3 linked regions of the Drosophila melanogaster genome follow. The protein of the gene in region 3 interacts with the protein of the main gene of each other region in a pairwise test. Each region holds a gene or a part of one and is shown on either strand. Other genes may lie near its edges.

What was found.
Region 1: the proteins of Glut1 (region 3) and Sirt4 interact in a two-hybrid assay, tested with the Drosophila melanogaster proteins (one large-scale study listed by BioGRID).
Region 2: the proteins of Glut1 (region 3) and term interact in a two-hybrid assay, tested with the Drosophila melanogaster proteins (one large-scale study listed by BioGRID).

The regions. Positions count from the first base shown.
Region 1 is NC_004354.4:5,664,074-5,667,468, forward strand, and holds Sirt4 (sirtuin 4), read right to left. Parts: upstream 1,868-3,395; 5' UTR 1,796-1,867; coding exon 1,615-1,795; intron 1,555-1,614; exon of another isoform or gene 1,414-1,554; coding exon 656-1,413; 3' UTR 555-655; downstream 1-554. Other genes in the region: CG4119 (uncharacterized protein), read left to right, coding at 2,333-2,395, 2,484-2,725, 3,137-3,395. UniProt on the Drosophila melanogaster protein: NAD-dependent protein deacylase. Catalyzes the NAD-dependent hydrolysis of acyl groups from lysine residues.
Region 2 is NT_037436.4:18,591,749-18,595,320, reverse strand, and holds term (terminus), read left to right. Parts: upstream 1-1,549; 5' UTR 1,550-1,709; coding exon 1,710-2,996; 3' UTR 2,997-3,018; downstream 3,019-3,572.
Region 3 is NT_037436.4:912,256-917,082, reverse strand, and holds the start of Glut1 (glucose transporter 1), read right to left. Parts: upstream 3,010-4,827; 5' UTR 2,865-3,009; exon of another isoform or gene 2,474-2,864; intron 1,445-2,473; 5' UTR 1,274-1,444; intron 1-1,273. UniProt on the Drosophila melanogaster protein: Facilitative glucose transporter.

The DNA.
Region 1 (3,395 bases), on a different chromosome or scaffold from region 3:
GCTTAAATATGCTAACCATGACCACTACTTAATATAATTATATTATTATTATTATTATTCTTAGCAGTCCTTCGATTTTGCCCATTGTGCGAGGTCTACGCATTGTTTTTCTAGCAGGAATGGACGATTGTCGTAGGAGGGGGGGTAATGAACCGCGTGTGAAAAGTGTCACTGGCCGTGTATGTGTGTGTGCGATGTGTGTTTGTGTGTGCGAGCGGGAGATGCCGATGCCTCAATTGCGGTTCATTTATATGGAGCACTGAGAGCAGCGGCCTGGAGCAAAAACAAAAACATTCAACGGGAGCGAGCGGAAGTGCGCAGCTCTCCCCGGCGCTCCTGCTTCCGCTTCCTGTTGGGATGTGCTGGAATTTCAGAGCACAGGACACTGAGAGAGACAGAGAGGACATGGACTCGGAACCCATGTGCTTGGGGGATGAGCGAATCCTTTTCCCGGAAAGCGTGTCATTGTGTTTCGCTCCAGAGGAGCCTGCGCGAAAATGATCCAAAGGCACAGCCATAAATCAGGAGCTCCGTTGCAACGCTACATTCCATTTGCAAATAGTAATCATTAACATTTATTTTTTAGCTAAAATAGAAAGCCTGGCTTTCCATAACTACAAATTTAGTGGGGGTCAACATATAACAACTGTGAGTATTAACTGACGCTTTTCGAATTGCGAAAGTCGAACAGTTTGGGTATGACATCGCCGCACTTGGCGGATATCTTGATATCCGCCAGGTGATCGGCGCGCGTTTCGCCAATATTAACAATGCCCACCGGTAGCTTGAGGTCCTTGGTCTGCAGGACAACGCGGTAGCCGGAGAAGACCAGGAGACTGGACCCGAGGACAAGCAGGCCATCGCTATTGTACACCATGCCGGCAATCTGATCCACTCGTGGCCGAGGCACAGAATCTCCGAAGAAGACAATTTCCGGCTTCAAGTCGCCGCCGCACTGCGTACACTCGGGTATCCGGAAGTTCTCGATGTACTCCAGCGGTATCTCTACATCGCCATCGGGCCGGATCATGTCGGGGGCATCTTTGAAGGCCGGATTTAGCGACGCCAGTATGCTCTGGAACTCGTGACGATCGATCCGGTACTCGCATGACAGGCACTTGACCACATAGCCACTGCCATGAACCTCCACAACATTTCGGCTGCCCGCCTTCGTGTGCAGCCGGTCCACGTTCTGGGTGACCACCGCCTGGACCCGCTCCTCCCGCTCGAATCTGGCCAGCGCGTGATGCGTGGCATTGGGCTGTGTGGCAGAAAACTTGGGCCAGCCCACAAAGTTCCTGGCCCAGTACCGCTTGCGCACCGCCGACGACTTGACGAACTCCATGTGCTGGACGGGCTTGTGGTTGGAGCGGGCGTAGAGGCCCACGCCTTCGGAACGGTAATCGGGAATCCCTGGAATTTATTTCAAGTTTTTAGACAGCCAGAAATGTTGATTTAAATAAAATACTAATGCGAATCCAAGTATAAGCTAGAAGTCACTTGCATTAGCATTATATAAATAAATGAATAATGTACAAGCTTTTGGAAGTCAATCTGAAATATTTGTGTTAATGGCTTCTGAACATAGAAAAGTCGGAAAATCATGAAACTCACCCGATTCCGTCGAGATGCCAGCGCCCGTGAGAACCAAAACATTCGGTTTGGACAGGAGAAAGTCCTCCAGCCGTTTGATGTCGTCCTCCACGACGGGCTTGTGATGCGGCACGTACTCCTGCCTGGCGGTGGAGCTGCGCAAGCTGGTGCTCCGGAAGCGGAGCAGCTGGCCCACACGCATTGTTTTGTTATGTATTATTGCAAGTAATATTTGGTTCTTTTTCGGTTACGTTACTAGAGGTGAGCGCACGCACATCGATGGCAACTCCTTCAGTCGCTTACCGCTGTAAATCGATTGTATGCCCCGCAATGGCAATCGATAACTGTACGACCCCCATCGATTTTTACACGCCATCAGCCGATAGCAGCTTGCCAGCAGCTACCATCTCTAGAGCAACGGCTGCAGAAAAAAGATATTCTATTCGGTAATTTACGCGTGGATTTATCACGCGCCGTGAACCCAGAAGTTACAGGCCAACCTTTCCGAGATTCGATCAGTGAACCTTGCGGGCGTCCAGCTTCGTAAGCACGAAACAGGACATTCACACACATATTTATCACTCCGTGTGGCGTTTGCGCCCATCCGTGCGTGCCTGTGTGTGTGTGTGTCGCTCGTCTGTGCGTGCGTGAGTGTGTTTGTGAATTGTCGGCTTTAATTTTGCAAGCTCGCTAAAGTTGTGTTTTCAAAGGACATCGCAAAGGAGTCGCAGCGCACAAGATGTCGTACCCGCCGCGGGCGCCCATGCCGCCCTTCATGAATACAGCCATACCGCCGCCGCACGTAAGTCCACCTTTTCTGGGTCACAATCACCATGAAGCTGTCAGAATCTGACGCCAAATCCTTTTCCACCTACTCCATCCGCTTTCAGATAATGCAGAACATGGCCAAGCCGCCGAGGAGCTTCCGTAACTCGGCCACCATTAGTTCACAGCCGACAGTATACCAACGTCCGCCGGAGCCGCAACCACAGTTCCGCGGACCCATCATTACCGTCTTCGTGGGCAACATCAGCGAACGCGTCCCGGAGGCACTGCTCAAACGCATCCTGAACGCTTGCGGCGTGGTAATCAATTGGAAACGGGTGTCCACATTCGGCTTCTGCGAATTTGAGTACGTTCAACCATAAATCGGTCATCCCAAAATCACTTTAGAAGGCTTAGGGCAGCACAAGAAGGTTTCGTTAGTTAAATAACGCTAGAAAAGTAATTGAAGAGCCATTGCATAAACAGCAGCATAACGCATCTCACTCGTTGTTTGATGCGTTTCCTAGAATAGCTTAGCTTATTTATAAAAAGATTGAAATACTTCTAGGAATGCTCCCTACTGCGACAGCTCTTCAAATTCTATATGCGCGATCGAATAACTACTCGAGCACTTTTAAGTAACCTAACTTTAAGCAATACAACACAGGGTTGAGCTTGCATACATTTATGTTTAGAGCCAACGGGCAGTCCACCCATTTGGCTCTCCAATTGTTCCTATAAATACTCTGCCTAACCGCTTTCCTTGGCATTCTTTCAGCGGACCTATTGCGGCAATGCGAGCCGTTCGCCTGCTCAGCGAGATGGAAATCGATGGCAAGAAGCTGGTAGCCAAGGTAGATGCCAAGAACAAGGTTCTCATCGAGGATTACAAGGAGCAGGAGTGCAAGAACGGCGATCGTTCCAACCCAGTGGACGAAAAGACCGAGGACGAGTTCGCCATTGCCCAGATGCACGAATTCCTGGAAGAGCACAAGCACGAGTTCGAAGGATTCGATAGCAGCAGTCGCGCCGATTTG
Region 2 (3,572 bases), about 18 Mb from region 3:
ATATGTTACCTCGTCGGCTTGTGGAATGCATATGTTATTCAAGACCAGTGGTGGGCATGTTTGTTTGTTTAAGGTAAAGGTAACCTGCTTGCATTTTTGAACATTTATTGAAATTCTCCAGTCGGCAAGCCATCGTTCTACAGATGATAAGTGTCGGGATAGGAGTGCCGTGGCTTTTATTGGGCATTTGGAGCGACTGAGTATCGCGGTATCATCAGCGAACGTGGAGGTTGTTAGATTGTAGTCTATGGGGAAATCCGCCGTATACAGGGTGTATAAGATTGGATCCAGTACACTGCCTTGCGGCACTCCAGCTTCGATTGCGCAATCGCGTGAAGTGCTTGTATCGCATCTTATTGCAAACACTCTGTTATATAGGTATGACTTCAGTAGCTTATGTGTGTTTTGGGGCAACAGCTTGATTATTTTAAACAAAAGTCCATCGAGCCACACTCTGTCAAATGCCTGCGCGACGTCTAGAAAAATGGCTGTGCAGTATTCTCGATGTTCAAAAGCAGTACGAATTTCTGACGTGATTCGGTTGACCTGTTCGATGGTTCCATGTTTTTCTCTAAAGCCAAATTGATGTGTTGGAAGTGTGTTGTTTATTCTAAGATGAGGGCTAATCCGAAGGAGTAGCATTTTTTCAAACAGCTTTGAAAGACATGTTAGTAAGCTTATCGGTCTATATGATGATGGCTGCGTTTTATCTTTTCCTGGCTTTGGAATCATTACTATGGTCGACTTTTTCCATTTTTGAGGGAAGTATCCAAGCTTATCGATTGCGTTGAACAACAGGCAGATGTGAAGAATAGCACACTTTGGGAGTTCAATGAGCATTCTTGGAGTTATTAGGTCGTAGCCAGGCGATTTTCTTGGGTTCAGTTGCTCTTTGATAACCTTTGCTAGTTCACATGGTCGGAATTCAAAGGGTTCTTGAGGATCTAGATTGGCTGCTATTAAAGGAGGGAGAATAAATGTGTTGGTAGAGGGATTTGGTCGGAATACATTTTGTAAATGGTCAGCGAAAGCACAGGCTCTTTCTTCATCACTTCGAAACCAGGTGCCAGAGGGACTTCGTAGTGGCATAATTGGCGCTATTGGAGTCTTTAGGTTTCTGTGAGCTCTCCAAAGAGGGTACTTAGTGCTGGTGGGAGAGAGTTGCTCGATATATGAACGTTGGCTGTTTTTTTCCTCTTGTTTGAGAGCATTGGTAAGCCTGCGTGTGGGTATCTTAAGCATGTGCTTTGTAATTGGTGATCTATTAGACTGCCAATCCCTTCGTAGGCGTCGTTTATCTAATACCAGCCGCTCTATCATTTTTAAAACAGATTATACCGTATACACCTATACCTAATAAAACTTTATGACCGCGCAGCTGCTGTTGTACTCAATTATTAGCACAACTTGAATGCTCATAAAATATATGACGGATTAGGTAAAAGGAAAATCCACAAGTAGATTTGTAACACCAAAGGATATATGTACCTTCACAGTCTACCTGTTACCCTGTAGTACTAGTTTGTATATAAGCCAGGTGGACGAAGATAAGGATATCACTCAGCAACTGAATCTTGCCATAGATACATCTCAGTGCTTCCGGAGCAAACTGAAAGAGTAATCATCTATTTGTGCCTGAAATTGGTAAATCGTCCAACAAAGCTATATCCACCTTTAGTTTTCGAATCCAAAGTTTCCATATCTCAATCATGTTCGACGAGCCCATAATCTCCAGCTTCGTTTTTACCAACGAGGAGACCACGCAGACATTCCACCACCAGTGGTTTTCCCAGGGCCAGTTACACGAATGTGCCACCTGCTACAGCTCCATCGACGCAGATGAGCCGCCCTCCCAGCATTGGCTGCGGGGAGGAGAAGCATCACAGGGCTTGCATCTTACCAAGCAACAGCAGGCCGTTATGGATATTATCGAGGCCCGCCAGATCGAGACTTTCTTCTTCTGCGACGAGAGTTCCAAGGACAAGCTGGAACACTTCATGGGCGAGACCTGTGCGAGGGGAATCCCCGAGCTTCTCCGCTGGATGTTCCAGAACAACACCGTGGCCGTGGAGTTCAATCTGGCCTGCTACGTGAACGCCATGGACCAGGTGTTGATCTTTCAGAGCGGCTCGCTGAGGGCGGACCACCACTACGACGTAGACGAATCCGTGGGCGTGGTCTACGAGATGCTTATGCAGAGGATTGAAAACTACCTCAACTGCAGCAGCGAGTACGGCATGGCAGAGTGCAGCATCACCAGATTGAAAGTACAGGTGAAGAGGATTAGGGTGGAGGCGGACGGTCAGTCAGCGGACTCGTCCGTCTTCGCCCTACCCCTGCAGCTTCAGGAGGAGGAGGGCCTGACCGCCACTACCGGCTGCTCCACCAGCGAGGCAGAGCTTGCCAGTCTGCGCTCCGCCTACCTGAAGCACTTCCGCGAGTGCAACGGCTACTTCCCGCCCAACATGCGCGTCAATCTCTACGGACTGCAGCAGTGCAAGACCACCAAGGAGCTGTATGTGGTGCCCTATCATATCAGCGAAACCCTCCAGCAGCTGCCCAACAAGAACTTCCTCATCCTGAACAATATCATGGGCCAATTCCAGCGGCTCCACGAGCTCTCCACCCCCGTCAATTCCATCGAAAGGGATCAGACCAGCTCGCCGCTAAAGGACCTCCACTGCCGGAGGTGTCGCACCCAGTTCTCGCGACGCAGCAAACTGCACATCCACCAGAAGCTGCGCTGTGGCCAGGACTTCTCCGTGGACAGCATGCACGCGGACATCGTGGAGATCTACGAGCAGTGCCTGCCCATCTCGAGAAGCGTCTTCCAGCACGCCTGCTACGGCATCACCAAGCCCAAGACCATGATGCGGAAGGGTCAGTTTGTGCCCATCGAGTGCGACTGGCGCAGCGAGAGCTCCGTGAAGGTGCAGCACGGCCCGTGTGTCGTCATCAGCAACGCCCAGCACAATAGTCCTTGTAAATTTTATTAAATAAACGATAACTTTTAAGCTGAAACTTAATTCTTTCTTTTAACCAGGGGGTAAATCAATGTAAGGGTAGTGGCGGTTGCAATAATAGCTAATAACTTTTAATAATAGGTGAAAATTTTTAGGAATTTTATACGTTTTATTGCAAAGCCAAACGTTTAAGACAATATTTATTATTAATTGTGAGCACCTCTCGCCACTGTCGTTGGCAGACATCCAGACATCTCCGCGACAGGAGTACGTGACCGAGTACGGGACCGACTGCAAAAATATTAACCACTGTTGTTAACCAGATTAAATAAAATACTAACATTTGTAACTAACATGCTTGTACCTATATTTGTAGCCCCAACTATATGTGTGCGAATGCAACAGGCTGATTTATTAATGAGCGCAGGATTTTGGCTTTCTCAGGGCAGATAGCCAACAGTTTTAATATGTATGCTACGTCTGATTTACCACCCTTATATTAAATCAATAATTTAATATTCCCTGCCGTCGATTTCACCAAACTTGACGCCTTTCTTCTCTGAGTTCTTCCACTCGATAATTTATAAGACCTTTATAAGTCCTGTAGAT
Region 3 (4,827 bases):
CTTTGTTATGCACGCGTGTAAATGTTTCGCTGGATCCAGATTCAGTTTCCGATGCTGATTCCATTTTCCAAACCCAAAGAACGAATTGAAAACCTAAACAAACTTTGCCTCCGCGCAAATGTTTTATTTGTCTGCCGCACACAAACAAACAGCAACGCACACAGACACACACACACACACACTTGCGAAGATGTCAGGGAGATACCCCCAAATGCACTGCGATTTCTGCTCCAAATTCGTTTCGATGGCAAAGGGTTTTCCCCGATTTTGCCACAGCATTTTTCTGTGTGCACACAAACTTTGCGGCCTCCTTTAGTTGTTATAATATAACGAAAAAAAATACGTATAAACAGGACGAAGTGAGTGTGTGTTTGAGGTTGAGTTGATTGCTTAAGTAAACGCACTGGGGCAGGCAAAAAAAAAAAATGTTCTTGGCCAAGTTGATTCGCTGAAGTTTGCTGGCTGGCTAAGAAAATTGCTCGCTGGCTTTTCTTACTGCGGGTCAATTTCGGACGCCCAGTGATTTTTGCTTATTTTTATTAATAGACTTTTTTGTGAAACACCAAACAATATTTTCGGCCGTCGGAAGTGTGTGCACTTCAAATTATGCTACATGCTTCGGAAAACCCTTTTCGCAGGACCAGCGGCTGTTTATAAAGGATACAGTTGCTGGCCAGGCTGCCTAATCCGCAAATGGACATTTCGACCGGGGAAGGGGATGGGAACTTTTCACAACTTTTTATTCTCGCTGATTGCTGATTGAAAACCGAACGGAGACCCAAATTCGGGTTGATTTTCGGCTCAGAGTGATGGTCCTGGAAAGTGAGTAATTAATTCTTGTGTTTGGCTTTCAGGGGGATGCTGAAATGAGGTCTATATTTATTTCTCTATGTGTGATTTTACTTGGAGAACTTCTGATCCAGCTGCTTTACACTTTGAATAAGTGATTAGAAGCCTTCAAAAACGCAAATAAACTGGATGACAATGTAATTTTAGCGATTTTAATCAGCCTTGAGCTATCGTTAAGTAGACTTGGGAAATAGCTAAGAAAGAAATCGAACCGATTGGATAATATAAAAAAATCCTTTATGGCACAAGCAAAGGGTTAAAAAATCTTAAACCTAAATCAAAATTATAAGAAATCAGTGAGTAGTTTCTTCTTGACGGTTGAGCAACTAACCATTTTGTTACTGGATTCAGAGCAGAAAATGGCAGCTAGTTTTCCCCGCCGCTTTCCCCAATCTTAATATAAACAGACAGTCGGTTGACTCACCTTTTTTCCAGGCAGCGGAGACTCCTTCTCGGTTTAGCTCGCTCAATTCGGCAGCCAATTGGGCACACACATCAATCAAGTACTTCAACAAGTTTTTCTCTATTTTGTTTGGTCTTTGGCTTGGTTTAGTTTTGGATTAGTTGAGCTTAGTTTAGTTTGGTTTAGATCGAACTGCAGTTGGCATAGATATTGTTGAGGAATTTATTAATATTATTGCGACTCAGTCAAGAGAAAAGTGTAGTATTTTCTAACACTTTTCCAGCCAATTAATTGGTTAACTTATGCGGGAATTCGCAAGCGAATGGGCCAAAGGAATGTTCAAGGCAGCTCAAGGGACAAAAGGACGCACATGTGGCAAGCTTCTCTCTGCTCTGCGGCATTTGCGACCATGTCTGGGTGAGCATTTAAGACCGAGAGACAGATAAATGTCAGAAGGTTATGGTGTTAATGTCGCTTTTATTTAAAACGGATATTGGGCGAAGAACAAAGGCGGGCCGGAGCAATAAAAAATAAATTAAATGGAAAATGCACGGAGAGTGCTGCGGAAAATGGGGGAAAACGGGGAAGAGAGAGATAGAGAGCGAAGGCGCGAATGTGTCACGGATTTCATTGCTCATTGAATACGCATTCATTTCACAAAGGAAAAAGGAGCACAGGACCTGCCAGCCATTCAGGCAGCCGCCTCAATCGAGTCACTCAGTCTGCGTACGTAAGCAGCGAAGGACATTCACACAGATACAACCACACACATACACACGCACACACACACAGCACTCTGAGAGCCACACACACACACACATATACAGACGGAGAGTAAGCCACAGAGCCCGCAGAGAAAATCAAAACTACGCGCACACACTGCCCAAATTTCTGTTCTGACAAATTTCCATGTGTATGTGCGCATTTTGTTGTAATTTGCCATTTTGGCAATTGCAATCCTTTGCAATTTATTGAATTTTACAAACACAAAGGAGCCACGCAGACACACAAGCACACGCACGCGTTTAAAAGCAGGCCACACACTCAAACAATAACAACACATTTTGTCATAATATTTTCATATATTATCCTGCGTGCCTTTCGACTTTCCACATTTTCCACATTATTTTCCCAGTTCTTTGCGGCAAATGTTTGTTAAATTCATTTAATTTTGGCTAAGCCTGTGTTTTAATTTCCTTGGGGTAAACGGAATTTTCATACGCGTTCGAGTTGAGTGTGCTTAAATCGCAGGATTCGCTGCTACTTGCGGAACCGCCCTAAAACAGTCGGGAGAAAAACTGAAAATGAAAATTGCTGAAAAATTCACCCAAGGCAAGCAGCAGTGGCAGCGGGAAAACGGACAAAAGCTTTTCCGCGCTCCCCAAGCAAAAGTACCCGTATTTTGGCACAGAGAGCGAGCGCGGAAAGCTCAATCAATAAGTCGAGCTGCTCTCTTTCACAGGACATCCCCATCCGGAACCACCCACCAAGTCACCACCCCCTAGCACATGCTGCGACTTTGAACGAACAGTTTTCTCTGTGCTTTTCCAATTTTCAAAGAAACTAACACCTCATCTCGACTCGCAAGTAACTATTTCAAGTCACTATTTACCGGATGAAAATCTGAGACGCGACACGTCGTAGTAAACCGCAACCGTAAACCGTTCACGGACAGCGAATCTGCTTGAGACCTTTCCTCCACTTTGCACTTGGGGCTACGGCTCTTGGCTTTCCGGACTTGCGATCCACACGTCTGACTGCCAGAATGGCCACAACATGAATGTCAGGTGTGCGATTCCGGCTGAGACTCGAACTCGGCACTCCACGTACTCCTCTGTGTAGGCGTCTCTCTGCCGGAGAAAATTTCCCGATAACCGTTATTTCCTTAGACAGTCGAAGCTGCCAACTTAACGCCGCGTTGCATTTCGATGGCTGCCAGGACCTGCGACTTGGCAGTGTTGCACGGGAGCGCTTTCGCAATCAGTTGGAGCTTTGGAAGCTTTCGGGCCTTATAAGCAGCTTCATATGTTTAAAACGTATAAGAGCCTTTCAACGTATTATTTGTATTTATGTAAAAGGAGAAGTTCCGGAAGATATTACAGATAAGTTATTCGAATTGAAAATCCGTGGGCTAACTATGTAGCATTGCTTCAAAGGGATTTTTGCTGCATTGTGAATTAATTTTTTTAGGATTTTAAGTGCCATGATCAAATGGATTACAAAGATCGCGAATAATTACCCAGCATGTTAGTACAAAGATATCCTTTCATATCATGTGCAGGATCTCCAGCAACTGTAGCAGCAACATACATAATAACAATTTGCATATTGAAAAACCCCTTGGGCGGGCAATTCTAAGTGGCCTGCCAATGATGATGGTAATCAAATGGATTACTCGAGTGGTCGGCACTTCAAATCTGCCAATCGCGCTCATCAATCTGTCAACTCCTTGGAGGAGTGCCATTAGAACACATGGCCACTTGGGCGAACAAAGGACCTGCATAAGGTAGTCTCGAACGGATTTCCAAGCCAACATGCCTCTCAAGGTGCAAATTAGCAGAGCAGCAGGATAAGAGTCCCGAGGACCTGAAAGGAAGTAAGATCCTTCGAGCAGCTGCCTTTGACCCGCAGAAATGGAAACTTGTTGGACATCGAACCATCTAATGCGGGTACCACAGTACAGGAATGTCCCGTGCCAAGGTGCAAACTGCAAAACGTATCGGTTTCGAGATCATTTTATTAGTATTTTATGTTTTTTGTTTGCTTCAGGCCTTCAGACACAGATGTTGGTGACTTACGGCTGCTGCATCGCCCCCTTGAAAACATCGACGGGGTTGTTTTTGCGGCATGATTTTACACAATTTTCGCTGTGCGAGGGGAAGGACATCCACATCTTTTGACGCTTTAAATTGATTCACACCGCGCACGCAACTGCCACCCCCGCATCCTTTAGTTTTATTCAGCTGCACCCTCGCATCCCGTACTATCCTAGCATATCCTGGCATATCCTGTTCGCCTTTTTTCCGTGCTGTCATGCATTTGTATTTGATTAAACATTTTTTACGCGTTTCCGTTGAGAGCATCATTAGTTTGGCCCGTTTAGAGTTTCACTATGGACCGACCAGAGACTGAGTTGAAAACACCCTGGGATTCCACCCCATCGTCATCAAGTTTCCTCGTCCTTAGCCCAGTGCCCAAATGCATCTGTCCGATTCAATGGTCCACTTCCGCTTTTCCGCCTTGGCAGTTAGTGTGTTTTGGTATTTGTTTTAGTCGGTCCCAGATCGATGGACCATGTCAATGGCCCTTAATGGCATTTCATTACTGCAGTTCGCCGTTATTTGGGCATGATTATAAGGAATCACCCAAGAGCACTCATCATTATTGGTTACCAGTCTTACAACCCCCGTATAGATGATATATGACCACCTCGCCGCAATTATAAAGCAATCATTTGGGGGTTTGTTTTCCCTGACAACCCAAAGAGAACCCAACAAGAAGTTTTCATTTTCAGTTTTGCGTTTTTATTCAAGAGCTTTTATAATTTACAATTTTTATGGGTTTTCCAAGATTGG